Linked DNA regions of Arabidopsis thaliana. The protein of the gene in region 2 interacts with the protein of the main gene of each other region in a pairwise test. Each region holds a gene or a part of one and is shown on either strand. Other genes may lie near its edges.

Evidence for each region.
Region 1: the proteins of SGR5 (region 2) and AT3G24490 interact in a two-hybrid assay, tested with the Arabidopsis thaliana proteins (one large-scale study listed by BioGRID).

The regions. Positions count from the first base shown.
Region 1 is NC_003074.8:8,906,378-8,912,723, forward strand, and holds AT3G24490 (Alcohol dehydrogenase transcription factor Myb/SANT-like family protein), read left to right. Parts: upstream 1-4,044; 5' UTR 4,045-4,644; coding exon 4,645-5,646; 3' UTR 5,647-5,846; downstream 5,847-6,346. Other genes in the region: MSH7 (MUTS homolog 7), read right to left, coding at 6,041-6,346.
Region 2 is NC_003071.7:428,084-437,701, forward strand, and holds SGR5 (C2H2-like zinc finger protein), read left to right. Parts: upstream 1-4,191; 5' UTR 4,192-4,568; coding exon 4,569-4,728; intron 4,729-4,763; exon of another isoform or gene 4,764-4,928; intron 4,929-5,041; coding exon 5,042-5,428; coding exon of another isoform or gene 5,429-5,444; intron 5,445-6,040; coding exon 6,041-6,834; 3' UTR 6,835-6,994; downstream 6,995-9,618. Other genes in the region: BPC1 (basic pentacysteine1), read right to left, coding at 1-126. UniProt on the Arabidopsis thaliana protein: Transcription factor involved in inflorescence stems gravitropism, probably by regulating starch accumulation in amyloplasts of graviperceptive cells. Required for stem circumnutation movements. Regulates lateral organ morphogenesis and gravitropic responses.

The DNA of each region.
Region 1 (6,346 bases), on a different chromosome or scaffold from region 2:
ATACACACAAGTTTTGTATCCTGACACTTTTTCTTGTGGGCCAAAAGGTCCCATAAATAATGCAAACTTCACTAATTCACGAGATCGTGTCTCCATATGAAGGAATTATACAAGTATTCAGATCTTGTTACAGTGTAAAATATTGAAAAAGGTGAAAGTGTTGCACTAAAAATCAGCCGTTGATGATTGATGAAGGAGCTTAGTATGGAGGATCTAGAGTGAACCATGCAAACATATACATATTTTTGATTATTTTATTAGATTTGTACGTATTGTATATAAATTTGGAAATTATGCATAATATGCATAGTATTCTTTTCCGTGGAGAAACATATAGATTTCTCACCTGAGCTTATATGAAAGTAACCACTATTTTTCTCATCACAAATCTCGCAACACTTCTTAATATGCTAGTAAAACTATAATGATCTAACGATTGGTACTGTTTTATTCTTTTTAAATTTTAAACCAACTGCTATTTTTAATACTCAAACATTCACTTTCTTAAAAACCAAGTGCTTCTAATTACTCTTAAAACCTAAATTATACATTTGAATCTAGGTTATCACTTCTCTTGTTAAATCAACAATGCTATGCGGTTAAATTTTGTCATGAATTTTTGATTTAAATAATAGAACGAGGTGATCAACATTTTCATCTGTTACCGGCTTCGTCTATATGAGGAGGCCAAGTGAAAGAAGTTATAATAACTAGGTAGGTCGCATGGTAAGTTTCCCATGAAGTCTTCAACGTCTTTTGTCCACTTGATTGTGCGCTAAATACTGTGTGAACATTCATTCATTATCTTAAGAACCCAAATGCTTTTAATTACTATTTAAACATAATTTGTACATTTGAATATAGGTTATCGAGTTTCTCTTGTTGAGCCAACAATGCAACATCTTTATTTCTGCCATTTTCAATTTAAAGAAAATGAATAAAATAAAATTAAGTATTTTGTTATTATATGCTTAGTCTTGTTAATGTAATTATAAGGAAGATAATGTTCCTTAATAGACTAGATGTGATTCATGAGAACCATGCACAAGAATTCAAAAACCCTAGAAGATTCGATGGTAAATGACGGATCAATTAGCAAAATATTCATGTACATTTACTATAACGCTATTGTATCTCTAGGATTATCGGGTTCTTGTAATGGATGATACACCACAAACCTTTTCTATATTTGTAATGCATTATGATTGACAAAAAAATAGTGTTCCTTGATTTTTTTTCTTTTTTTTGTGTGTGCATCAAGTGTTACTTGTTAATTCATTATTCATTTCATTATGTTTCTCATACACTCTAGCCATCTCTGTTTTTTTCACCAACTAATCATACAATTTTATAAATTTGGCGATTTTTTTAAAAAATAAAGACTCTATAGTCTATTTTTGATAATTGTATGTAACATTATGTACTATGAAAATATCATGCAATTGTGAAGATGACAAGGTTGTCATATCTTCTTATGAGGTAAGAAATTATTTCTTAGAGTATATGATCATTTGCTATTAGTTGTATTTTCTATCCTTCTATAGATATGTGAACTTCATTCTCTAGTTGAGTATGTATCAGAGTTACTTTTACCTTCCAGTACTAATGAATCTGGAAGCTCACACAGAATAAAAGTTCTTGCGTAGAGAAATACAAAATCTTAGTGCTTAGATGAACATTTGACCAGTGAGGTGAAGCAGACCACTATGGTTGAGATCATCTACTAGCAACCAGACCATCCAAAATCTCTTTTCTTCTAACCAAGAGACCAAGTCAGTGTCCCATCAAATTTGTTTTTTAATTTTTATTTTGGTTAAATATCAAATCCTTTATAACCAATTTCTCTTTTCTTCTCCATCCAATAAGTCTTTTCTATTTGGAATCTCATGTAAATCAAAGTGCTTTACAACTTTTTGGCAAACATTTTATCTTTAACACTAGACCAAAAACTTCCTCATTAATTAACTAAACTATATATATTATTGGCAATAGAGCATCCTGCTTTCGTAGGAATCCCCTTACCAAAAAAATCACCGAAGATACTTTTGGACTATATATTTGTCAAATCAATAAATAAAAATAAATAAAAGATTAAGAAATAAATGCTCAAAGCCTCAAAGTAAAGACAAAAGACAAAAAATTGGTGAAAGCAACATAGTTGGCATTGGAGTGAGCGAACGTAACCACTCATAACGCGTTTGAAAGAGATTGTTGTCAAAGACTTGAGAAACTTCGTAACGGTTTTATGATCACTCATTGACTCTCTCTCTCCGTTACACTTATGTTCTCGACGCGACCTTCCAACCATAAAATACTAATTTCATTTTTATTTTCACTTCATCGATATCTTGTGACATGTAATATGATTGGCTTATCAAAAATCTTTCATACGAATTTTCAAGTTTGTTCACATCTCTCTCCCAAGATATCCGTTTAGGAGCCTAGGACCGTTACTTCACTTTATTATTTTCATGTGGAGGAACTGTAATATATATCACAATTTTGTTGTTCTTGTTGATTGTGTAAATAGTAGTACTGGATACTAAAGAACAATGAGTATGTATCTCAAATATTTAGCTCAACCGTTTTATAAAAATACTATATTATTACCTTAAAATTGTTTGTTGCTTTATCAGTATTAGGTAATTATGAGATGTCACTGTTTAATCTATTTAAACGTTTTATGAGTTACATTAATGAAAAAAATCTGAAAAGTTAAAATTATACGAATACATACCTGTCTGACTCTACCTACTGAATTTTGTAAAACAATTTGTTATATTTTATAAGAAAGTTGATGTTGTAGTGTTTACTGTCTCATAAAAAACAATCTCTATTTATTTGATTTGAGACTTGAAATTTTTAAAGCTTGTTTTAAACTATACTGTTTTTCTTATAAAAAAATTGTATTAATTTTTTTTATAAATGAAACTGTTAAAAAAAATTGAAAATTTAGAGATCAAAACTAAACCTTTATAATCATTGAAATATATTGGTACATCTACCCACAAAACAGGTCAATCGTCTAGGTTTAATTATAATTAAGCCTAACATGTTAATGAGATTCAAACGAAATTAAAGTCCACAATGCCAACTCAACTCAAGTATCAAATCTTTTTCTTCTTTTTTTACTTAGCAGGAATACCAAACTCAAGTATCAAATCTTTTAAAATTTATTTTTTACTTATGTCAATGTGGGAATGACCGAGTTACTTAAGAGTTATGATTAATATTAATTCTTGTTTCTAACCAATTCATATATCATTGTCTTGGAAGCTTCTTCATATCAATGACTCAACTCTTAATTTTTTTCGAAAATCTGTTCTTACAAGGTCACACAATTCAATTTTTTTTTTGTATTGTAAATGTTTATCTCGTTATATTTACACTAACGAGATTTAAACACCTAAAATCAAATTGTACGAGACTAGTGTTAGTTATTCAATAGTATGATGCATTGATGCAACAAAATTCGTTGCGATTATTTATGATCCTTATCACTACCATGATCATTTCCATTAAGGTTATACTTACTTCCTTTTTGATGCATAATAATTACTCACCAACATTGAAGCGTGGTCGACATTTTCATTGGCAATAAGCATAACATTCATTTATTTATATTAAAACACAGAAACAAACAATTATTAAATAAAGAGTTCTGGCATTTCTCTATTTTAGTCCACTTAATTTAATACTATCATCTTCAAACAAGATTTCATCATTAATAATTTAAAAAATTATACGTTACATAGTGTATTAAATGAATTATCGTTGGGATACACTTTCACATTTTTCAAAAACGTATGAATCATAATGTGACACATGGAGATTTCCCACAACCGAGGCTCCCATAGTAGATGCTTATGCAATTCATATTCTTGCAGCTTAAACTCTTGCAAGTTCAGTAATAACACCGTGATATGAAAAATAAAACTTAGCCCTTTTTAATTTTTGAACTTATTCAGATTAATTAAAAGCATACGTAGCATATTTAAGAATATAAAGCAGAGAATCAAAATAACATATTGTTTCAATGGCACCCATTTTAGCTAGTCGATCAGTAACTGCATTCGCAGATCTTCGAACCCACCAAAAATCGACAGCTTCAAATCCTTTGAGCCAATATGACGCTAAAGGTCAAAATATTATGACCCTAAATGTCAGAAATTGACCCCATAAGTCATAAGTTAACCGACACCAAAGCTGATATTCGTTAGAGTTTAGACTCTCCTTTTCTTAATGATCGTTAGTTTTAGTTGGGAACTCTTGGGCTATCGGTTAAAATTAAATAATTGTGGTCCTCTTGGCCCATTAGTGCTGTCCAAACTGGCCCAATATGACCCAGTGGATGGTCCCAACAAACGCCGCGACAAAACTCCGTCGCTGGCTGAGGCAATGTTCACCGGTGGTGGTAGCTTTTCTTCTACTCCGACCCGGCTGAAAATGCAAATCCCTAACCCTAGACACGGCCATGGTTTATAAACCTCATCAATTTCTTCTACTTATCTCTTCTCAAAGCTAAACCCTCCAAGATATTCCTCTATTAGGTGCAAAAATCAGGTAAATCTCTATCTGTCCGATTTGAAACCCTAGATCTGCCTTTCTTCTCTCTTCTTTTGCTTTTCTGGGTTTTGCTCAAAGATGGGTGACAGCGAAGATGAAACAGGATACCCAAAAAAGTTTTACTCTTTGAATCGGCAAAACCATCCAATGTATAGTAGACCAATACCTAAGCGTCACGCGTATTACAATGAAGAAGAAGACGAAGATGAAGTCGAAGGAGAAGAGGAAGATCCACAAGGAGGATACATTCGTGGAAATGAGAGGTTTCAGAAGAGACAGAAACCAAACAAAGTAGTTTCTGGGTTTGAATTTGCTGGTCCTAGTGATGCTAAAGTTGCGTATGATTGGAGAGAGCAAGAAGCTTTTGTGTTGCTTGAAGTTTGGGGAGATAGGTTTTTGCAATTGGGTAGAAGGAGTTTGAGGAACGAGGATTGGAATGAAGTAGCTGAGAAAGTGAGTGAGGAGCTAAGGATGGAGAAATCTGAGACGCAATGTAGGAGAATGATTGATGACTTGAAGAGGAAGTATAGAAAAGAGAAGATTAAGGTTGAGAAATCAGGTTTAGGTTCAAGTAAATGGTCGTTTTTCAATAAGTTGGATATGTTGCTTTGTGTTTCGCCCAAGTCGGATTTAGGTTTAGCTTGTGGTGTTGATTCAGGTGAGTTTGTGTTTATGAACACTAAGGTTTATTTAGATAAGTCTAATGGGTTTGATGAGATGATGGATAGTCCTGGTGATTCTGAAGAGGAGGAGGATGAGGATGATGAGGTTGAGTACGAGAGGAAGAAGGTTAATGACGCTGCTTCGTATAAGATGTTGGCGGATTCTGTTGAGAGGTTTGGGAAGGTTTATGAGAAGATGGAGAAGAGTAAGAAAGAGCAAATGAAGGAGTTGGAGAAGATGAGAGCTGATTTTCAGAGAGATTTGGAGTTGCAGAAGAAGCAGATTGTTGATAGAGCTCAGAGTGAGATTGCTAGGTTACGTGAAGAGGAGGAGAATCATCATGGTGGTGGTGATGATGATGAGAGTGAAGATGAAGAAATGGAGAATGATTCTGATGTTAATCTCAGTGATGAGTAAGTTATAAACTATGTAGGTTTGTGTTGTTTGTAGATGCAACAAAATATGTTCTGTTTTTTTTTTTGGTTTTAGGGAATTCAGAACTTAAGTCTTATAAGTTTTGTAATTTGTGTTTGGTCTTTGCAACTTTAGTCGAGGTTATTTGCAGTTTATCTTGAAACTTAAATTAATGCATAAACATATTTCCTTCTTAATATACTGTTTGTGAGTATTTCTCTTGACCAATCTCATGAACATACATATATTATATACCATAGCTAAACCGACAGATACATATATAATCTTGTTATAATCGAGGAAACAATTTTTTGATATATAAGCATTTTTTAAGAGGAATAAACATCAGAGAAGCAAAAGACTTAACGAGCTTCAGATAGTGTTATGTCATAGCCATTTATTTGGGAACACAGTAAGAGGATTTGATCTCATGCCATAAGCAAAACAAAGTGTCGTAGTCATCTTCGCCAATGGGGGCATTGTTGTGGGCGACTCGAGAAATACCCACCAATGACTTGAGCCAGTCTTCATGCAGACTTGAGAACTCAGATCTTAGCTCACTTGACTTGAAGTTTTCCCCAATTGATCTCTTCATGGCTTGAGCAGCACCTGATGCTGTTTCAACCACTTGGTTTGGTATTCCAGCCATGAGTGCCACTTGAAGTCCGTAGCTCTCAGGACAAGCTCCCTCGGTTAAACGGTA
Region 2 (9,618 bases):
ACCGGGTAAAAACGGTTTAGTGTTCCGGTCAATAGTAGACATAAGCTGCAAACCGAGATTACCTTTAAACGAAGAAGCAGCCGCTGGTTCATAGTATCCCCAATTGCGAAATCCATCATCGTCCATTGATGATTATAAAACTACAAACAATGCCATTCAAAGTCAAATCTAAACACAATTTGATCCAAAACAATAACAGAACACAATTGTAAAAGTTTATAACTTTGTGGTTGAATCTGATTCTAAACCTCGAATTCATCGAAATTTCCATGAAATTAACATAAAATCTATCCATTTTCTAACGAAAGCACAGATCTTTGAGGTACCCAGAAACGAAAATTAGGGTTTTTGTAATCAGAATTCAATTTTTGTTTGAGACCCATATTGCAGAGCTCTAGATCTGAGAAACCCAGAACCAGATCTGAAGAAACAGAGCATAAAGTTTCGATTTTTTTTTTGAGAGAGAAATGTTTCAGATCTCGAGTTTTATTAGTCATAAGCTTCGATGAGAAGATCGCTAGAAATGGGAAAGACAAAGTAAACAGTACAAAAAGAGGACGCAAATGATAATTTTCGAAAGAGAGAGAAAGAGACATAGATTGATGAGAGAGAAATCTCTTACATGGGTTTGGTCTAAACGGCTCTTTAAAGAATTTTTTGACCTCCTGGAGAGAGGAGAGAGAAACCTGAGAGAGATTGAGAAAGAGAAAGAAAGATAGAAGAGAGAGGAAAGAGAAGCTTAAAAAGATCTTCCCTGTTTTTTTTTTCTTCTTAGAAAATCCTAAAAATGACACTTTAATATAATATTTTTGGTGAAGAGATTATTTTTGGTTATTTGTAGGGTAAAGAGATTTGGGGGAAGAAGAAGAAGAAGACAAAAACAAAATCAAAGCCCACTTCTTCTCCTTATCCTTTACATTGTACTATTGATAAAATATACAGTATTTGTCATAGCATTGAGAAGGCAAGCTCAATACCACTTTTACTAATGAGATCTTAGTCTTTAACCCATAGCCACAACTAAGCTTGACCAATATCTAATCCTCAAGTAATGAAAACATCAATTACCTTTTGTTTTCATTGTCTGACGTATGAGCTAACAAGACGAAGATTAACCAAATATTATTATTTTAATTGGTAAATATTCTAGGCAAAGCTTAGAGGTCGCGTTACATGTTGTACTTTTGGGTCTTCGGAAATTACGGCTTTGGTTCAGAATGTTCTGGTATTCAAAAAAAAAAAAACAAGAAGAAGATTAAGCATGTAACTAATTAAGAAGATGTACAACATCCAAACAGAGAAATTCAACACTTGATCAAACATCCAAAGATTTCCAATAGCTGGATTCACACTAGATATGAAGATAGAGATTTATGTGTATGAATCTCCGGAAGAAGCTTTTTTTTGTTAAAGTCTCTGTTTCCATGCAACTTTTTGATTTCCATGGATAATGCTCAACAACTGGCCCATATGCGACTCATTTAAGAGATAAGAGACCCAAATACTTAATATCAAAATTACGTCCAGTGGACTCATATTCAAGGCCGGTAATCATTTCGGCCCATAACCACTTTTTTTTTGTTTCACCAACTTAATTTGATTTTAAATTGAGTAGCCAACATTATAATTACACACGTACATTTTGACTAAAAAAATTTTGTTGACTGAAGTTGTATTTTATCTTAATTCGATTTGAAAGATTGAGTACAATTATACACATTGTGTTTATTTTCTTGGCAACATTTTATAGAGTTTATGGATGTATGCGAAACTTGAGAATGAAGGCATGAGACCAAAATATCCGAATAAAATGAGTAATGATGTATTGAGAATGTTCTTTTCAGATAAATAACTAATTTTATGTTTATATATATGGTTTTTTATTATTAAAAACATTAATAATTGAAGATAAAAAGAAAAGATAAAGAGAGAATCAAAGGGAGGAGTTGGGGGAGATGATGGCATTTCTTTGCTTTGTAAATTTGGAGCATGTGACTTGATCCTTCTTTCCAACTCAAATCTCCTACTTATATTATTTTATTCATTCTCTTGAATTAACTTCTAATAGTTTACCATTGTTATTCGAATTTATCTTGATTATATAGTTAATATTTGTGAGATATATCCTAGGTAAATATACCTGAATGTCCAAAAACTAGGTCTAAAGAGCTCAATATTTTTATACATTAAACTTAGATTTCAACTTTTATGTATAACTTTTAACCTTGGATCAACCACTAGGCCATTGTCGATTTATTTTTGACTATTAAAAATCAGACTATTGTATTTCATTTAACATGTTTTTGTTTCTTTTTGAATTTTTGCATTCATTTAAGATGTTGTGGTCTCTCAAGTCCATATATAACGATTAGAAACTACAAATTTATAATTTTGTAGCTCCGAAATAAATATCATGCATTATGTATCAGCTAGAAAAGATCTAATCAGTGGTAATAATCGATAAGCAAAGGGTTAAGTAAGAGATGGGAGAGTAATCTCATCTTAGGAAATGATTACAAACACGATCTCATTTCTTTCCTTTATACAAAGCTGTCACCGTAGTAACTCGATCACATCTTCTCGTCTAATTTGTTCTGTTTTTCCTTTCGGTCCATTTAGAACCAATTTTTGACAACTGACAAAAAACATTATGAGGTATCTTTTGTTTCTTTTATCTGCAAATTAATTTATTATTCGGCAATAACAAAAATAAAAACAACTAGTAGCGAATAGCGATCAAGCTAAGGAAGGAATACATATGGCATTTACAATTGAAACAGAGAAAATGTGTTAAAGTAACAAAACTTATGATTGAGAAAATTTAAACCATAATTGAAACAGAGAAAATGTGTTAAAGTAACAAAACTTATGATTGAGAAAATTTAAACCATAATAATGATTAATTTTGGTAGTCTACATATGAGTTCCATCAAAAAAAAAAAAATGTTTTCATATAAGATTCATTTCATTCTTGATCCAGTAACATTCTTAGATCTGTTAATGAACCTTCTTAAGGAATGACTGAGAAGAAAGGCAATAGCCTAAAAGGAATCGACAGTGGAGAGTGGAGGGAAAAAGAGGTCACGTGAGTAAGACATAAGGTCACGTGCGCGAGGGATCGAATATGAATTTTACTAAAATAGGGTTTTATAAAAACATACTAATACTACTTTCACATTTACTCTTGGTTTGAATTATTTTTATACGCATGTATAATTTGATATATTTGTCTTTTTTCTTCCCCTAACTATGTATGGGCACTAGTACATCCATTATATAAGCCAAATAGAAAGAAAAAATAATAGTTTGTCTGCATTATTGTAAACTTACAGAATTTGGTATTTAATGCAATAATGCATTTTTATCCTTGGATTATTCACAAGAACCATATACCTTTTTTTTTCTCTCCTTGTTTCCAAGTGTAATTCGAAAAGAATCTTAACATGTATGTGGACCAACGTTGGAAACATGATGACATAACATTCATATATAGTTAACAATGACAATTTTTCTTAAATTGTCTATATATTATTGGATTGCTTTAACAATAATGAAACGCAAGATGTATTAGTGATGTATAATCACACTATTTATAGGACTTGAGAGTGACAGTCAAAAAGTTAATTAGAAGTAATGAAGTATCTTAACCTTATTATTTAATTGCTTCTTACATCATCTAAGAGTTAGCACCGTATCGATATTCATAAATTCTCTCCTAATTTGCAGATACAATACAACTATTGCTATTTTAAGCCTCTAACCTGCATAATATTTTGATGAAAGGCAAGCCTTACATGTGGACGTATGATCTCATATATTTTTTTTTTTCATTTGTTAGAAGAAACTCATGTAGATAATCTCAAACATAAAATAAAATGTTTCAAAAAAAAAAAAAAAAATAGTTTGTGAAGGTTCAAGAAAATCAGACAAATTCATCAATCAGACAAGATATGGGTCCAAGCCAAAAAATTCATATATCCAACATGCTCAAAGAAACAAAGTCTAAAAAATAAATACAAAATAACAAAAAGAAAAATCTAAAATCTACATCTAAATCTAAATAAATACACCACCTTCTCTCTCTCTCTCTCTAGCTACACGAGTGTATGTATACATTTTACGCAATGATGGCATAGTGCAATGAGCTTTATAAGTAGAAGCAATATAGACATCAAAGACCCCTTATTTGCTCTCAACTCTCAAGTGTATGAGAGAGAAATAGGTTTTTGAAGAAGAGTCAAAATATATACCCAAAGAGAGAGCTAGAGAGAGAGAGACTCAAGAAAATTAAAAAGCTTTCATCATATTAACATAAGAGAAACTTTGAAGAGCCTAAGAAAAAGTTTTGAAAAGCCTTTGTTGCAGAAAGCTTAAAAGAACTTTTTCTCTCCCCCTATATCTCTCTTTATCACCCTTCCTCTTCTTTGTAAAGCTGAATCTCCCACTATCTCTTCTTCTTTCATTTTTTTTTTTTTTTGGTCTTTGGGCCTTGTTCTTTCATCAAATCAATCTCTAGAATCCAAATACAATAAAGTCAAAAAGAAAGATCAAGAAAAGTAGAGTAATTGATGAGAACAGATCAAGTGATGTTGTCCAACAAGAACACAAACACATGTTGTGTGGTTTCTTCTTCTTCTTCTGATCCTTTCCTCTCCTCTTCAGAAAATGGGGTCACCACCACAAACACATCCACTCAGAAGAGGAAAAGAAGACCTGCAGGTACCCCAGGTAATAATAAATCCCCACTACAGAAAATTTATTTTTCAAAATCTTTTTTTCTTGTTTTTATTTTCTTATGAAAATTTTCAACTCATGGGTACTATTGTTTTTTGTTTTTTTTTTCTCTTAAACCCCATTAGAAATACAGGTTTATTATAGGTTTAGTTTTAAAATTTCTCTTTTTCTTATTGCCAGTTTCAAAGTTATAGGTACAATTAATGGGTTTTCATTGTTTTTAATTCTTAAACCTCATTTAAAATCTCAACTTTATTAATCAACTAAGACATGTGTTTTGATGGGTTTTGCCTTATCTCCTTTTCAGATCCAGATGCAGAAGTTGTGTCTTTATCACCAAGAACTCTTCTTGAATCAGACAGATACATATGTGAGATCTGTAACCAAGGGTTTCAAAGAGACCAGAATCTCCAGATGCATAGAAGACGTCACAAAGTTCCATGGAAGCTTCTTAAAAGAGACAACAACATAGAGGTGAAGAAACGAGTCTATGTTTGCCCTGAACCCACTTGCCTTCACCATAATCCTTGTCATGCTCTGGGAGATCTTGTCGGCATCAAAAAACATTTCAGAAGAAAACATAGTAACCATAAGCAATGGGTTTGTGAGAGATGCTCTAAAGGTTATGCTGTTCAATCTGATTACAAAGCTCATCTCAAAACTTGTGGTACTAGAGGACATTCTTGTGACTGTGGTCGTGTCTTCTCCAGGTATAATTTCTTGTTCCTCTCTATCATTTGATTTTTTTTTGACCCATTTTATAAATTAATTATTGGTATTATTAATTCTGAAAAGATATGCAAACTTTTGGAAGGATTTGTTAAGTATTTCTAAAATATACAAGTAATTTGACTCTGTTTGTTTTGTATATTTAGGAGATCATATAGAAAGACAAATATAGAAAATTCTTCTAGGGACCAAAGACTAAGATTGATAGTTATAGTACTATTTGATTTGACTATCCTTCATGATTTTTACTAATTCTGTGTATTGATGTGTATGCATCAGAGTTTTTTAATATATCTCTTGACTATTTGTTTGGTTTTTGTGACATAAAAAGAAAGTTAAGCACTTAGATTAATGACATTGACCCCAATCTCTAAAGAAATATTTTATGTATTTAGGTTATTATTGGACCTTTTTTCGACACAAAGGTTATAATTGGACCTAAACTCATATTAATAATATATATTTTTGAGTTCAAAGGTATTTAATAAACGACGTTTAAACAGAAAAACTTAATATAAAATTATTAACTTTGTCACATTTTCATAATCCTACGTCATATAAATTATGTAATTGATAGGTTTCTTTTCTTCTTTTAGGGTGGAGAGTTTTATTGAACATCAAGATAATTGTTCCGCACGGAGAGTTCACCGTGAACCGCCTCGACCACCACAAACCGCGGTAACAGTCCCGGCATGCTCTTCTAGAACCGCCTCAACCGTCAGCACTCCGTCTAGTGAAACCAATTACGGCGGTACAGTTGCGGTTACGACTCCTCAACCTCTAGAAGGCCGTCCAATTCATCAGAGAATCTCATCTTCAATTCTCACCAACTCATCAAACAATCTCAACCTCGAACTCCAACTTCTTCCATTATCGTCGAATCAAAACCCTAATCAAGAAAACCAACAACAAAAAGTTAAAGAACCATCTCATCATCATAATCATAATCATGATACCACAAACTTAAACCTCTCCATTGCACCATCATCATCATATCAACATTACAACAACTTTGATCGTATAAAAGAGATTATGGCGAGCGAGCAAATTATGAAGATAGCGATGAAGGAGAAAGCTTACGCTGAGGAAGCTAAAAGAGAAGCCAAGAGGCAACGAGAGATAGCGGAAAACGAGTTTGCAAATGCCAAAAAGATTAGGCAAAAAGCACAAGCTGAACTCGAGAGAGCTAAGTTTTTAAAGGAACAATCTATGAAGAAGATAAGTTCAACGATCATGCAGGTCACTTGTCAAACATGTAAAGGACAGTTTCAAGCAGTTGCGGTTCCGGCGGCTACGGCTGATGAGACGTCTCTTGTCGTGAGTTACATGTCGTCAGCGAATACTGACGGAGAGTTGGAAAATGGTTTTTAAGTAAAACCGAAGAAAACATAAGATATTTAAATTGAGGTTAACTTTATTATACTTTTGTGTATTAATTACCGGTTGTGTTAATTTTTTCAACTACCATATATTATGTAATGGTTGTTATATAGTTGTTTCTTTGGTCCAACAATATTAGACTATGTTTTGTAACTATGTTACTGTCATTTCCGCCACATTACACTTTAAATTGTTGAAAAATGATTTTATCCTAGGTTTCATATAGAACCTTAAAATTAAATTTTATCAACAAAAAAAAAACCTTGAAATTAACTATTTAAATTTTTATATAGATATTTTTTCGTCTTGAACGTCTACAGTAGTTTAGAAGGAGTTAAGAGTGGAGATCCGTACATGCGTGTTTTGATCTTTGGCCTTAGATTCGCTTAGAACTTTCAATGGATATACAATTTTTTTAATAAAACATGTGATATGCGGATTTGAATTCGGTTAAATATACATTTGCTTATCCTTGATTTGTCTACATTATTTTTGGTAAGCTTGAGGTGATATATTTGAAAACAAATCTCACGTTTTAAGGATCAAAACAGTCCCTGCATGATAGAGATTATCGACATCTAATGTATACCAGTATATTTAGTAAGTTTGAAAGAGGGTAAGTAGTTGCTTGGCACGAGTTGATATATGGAGTGATGGGAAATGTACTATTATGATGTCGTTTTGGTCCGTGACCGTTACACTTATAACGAGGTTCATAAACAAACATCGTTTCATCTTTCGTTAGATTCGGACAAAAAGTGTTGATCTATAATGATGATAAAACAGCCCGACCCATTTTCACTTGTTGTTATTACAACTTTTAGCAAATTTTCTAGCTACTCATTTATTGTCTCGAAATAAATTTTTACAGAGACTTCTGATTTTATTTTAAGTAAAATTTTACAAGAAAATGCATGTCAAATAATTCTACTGTTCACACATATGACCAATACTCAGAGTAGTCCATATCAAATTTTATATAGAACTGGTCGTTGGATTCTAAGTAATTAAGTATTTAGTCTAGTTGACCTTAAAAATAGATAGTTAAAAACACCTAATATTCATGAGAGATAAATAAATAGCCACTCATCAAATTGTTGTGCATTATTCATGTGTGTTTAGTATAAAATTTGAAACCCAAGACTACACTGCGTTAAGAAGATAACTCCATCTGAAAACTTTGTGGTGATAAATAAAATTTGGTGTGCAAGTCATACAAAGATAATACATGTTTAAGCCACATGATTCATATAATATACCCATTTGAGATTTCTTAATTAATACATAATGGTGATTATTCATGTTTCTAGCCAAACATTTTTTAGATGAATTTTTTTCTTATAAAAAAAAACCCAAATATTTTTAGATTGGACAGGTCTATGATGTGTGAACATACATAATAAATGAATGTCGATACATGAAAGAGAAAGAGTTTGATTGGGGCAAGTATATAGATACATACATATACGCATATATAGCAAAGAAAATATAAAATAACAAAAATAAGACGATCTTTTGCGTATGAGATTGAAGAAGCTATACACTACAAAAATCTAAAATCCGAGGTGGGTTTGGTTTTTGTACATCTTTTGGGACCAATTTCGATGCAGAAATTAGGAGGATATAAAGACTTTAATAACGAGGACTTGAAGAAATGACATGAATGTCTGTCTGAGAGAACTAAAGAAGTGGGTTAAGTAAATAAGAGAGTGACAAATGCCTGCCCGTTACTCCGTTTCAACTCTATGGCACTGAAAACGATGACGTTTTTTTCCCGTCGCATTTAATGTGCACTCAATTGCATTGAAAGTGACTATTTATCTCTCTCTCTCGTTTTCATCATTTGTGCTAACACGCAGAGAGGTTTGCAGATTCTGCAGCTATGTTTGTCACATAAAGAGAGGTGGAGAGAGAGAGAAAGAGATAGCATATTAGGCTTTCTCTATACCAATGGCCAAACACATGTGTGTGTAATATAATGCATGTAGAATATGTTTGATGATGGTTTATGTCACAAACTCGTGAACGTAAAACAATGTACGTAATAATGTCTAACCATGTGTACATAAAATGATGGAATTCATGTAATAATGTTATAATGTATAAAAACGATTCGTTATGTCGCTATATGCATGCAATTAGCGTACTTTGAGATTATCAATTGTAATTGCTTCAAACCAAAAGAAATAGATTAATAATTATATGGCTCGGATCATCTATAATACATAGTTAGGTTAGGGAGTTGTAACGAATTAAAATATAGAAAAGGAAGAACAATGGAACGTGCAACACAAAAAAAGGTTTTAGCTTTTTATCTCTTAGCATTTTTTTTAAGAAGAGCATGTGCATACTTGCTTCTCTTCCCCCAAACTTTCAAATGCTCATGCCTTTCTCAACCCAAATGAATTGTTCCTTCTTCTCTTATCTTATTTATTTGCATGTGTTATATGATCAAAAATACCAAAGAATTCACTACAAAAACAAACCTTTTTCATCTAAATAAAGTAACTACATTATCAATTAGAAGTTTCATGGAAAAAAAAATCATTTTTAAGCCAGAGATCTTTGTTTGTCAACAATATTGAAAAAGAAACAATATTTAATAATAATGTACTTAGTTGTTGGATTTGGAATTGGCTTAGCATGAAAATCTCTCATCACATGCGATTGCCTCATACTTCCCACAAAGGAACAACCATATGCTTAACTTCTATGTCATGACAAAAATACCCCTCACTTCTTTGATGGGATGTATGAGTCGACACCCTTTACTCA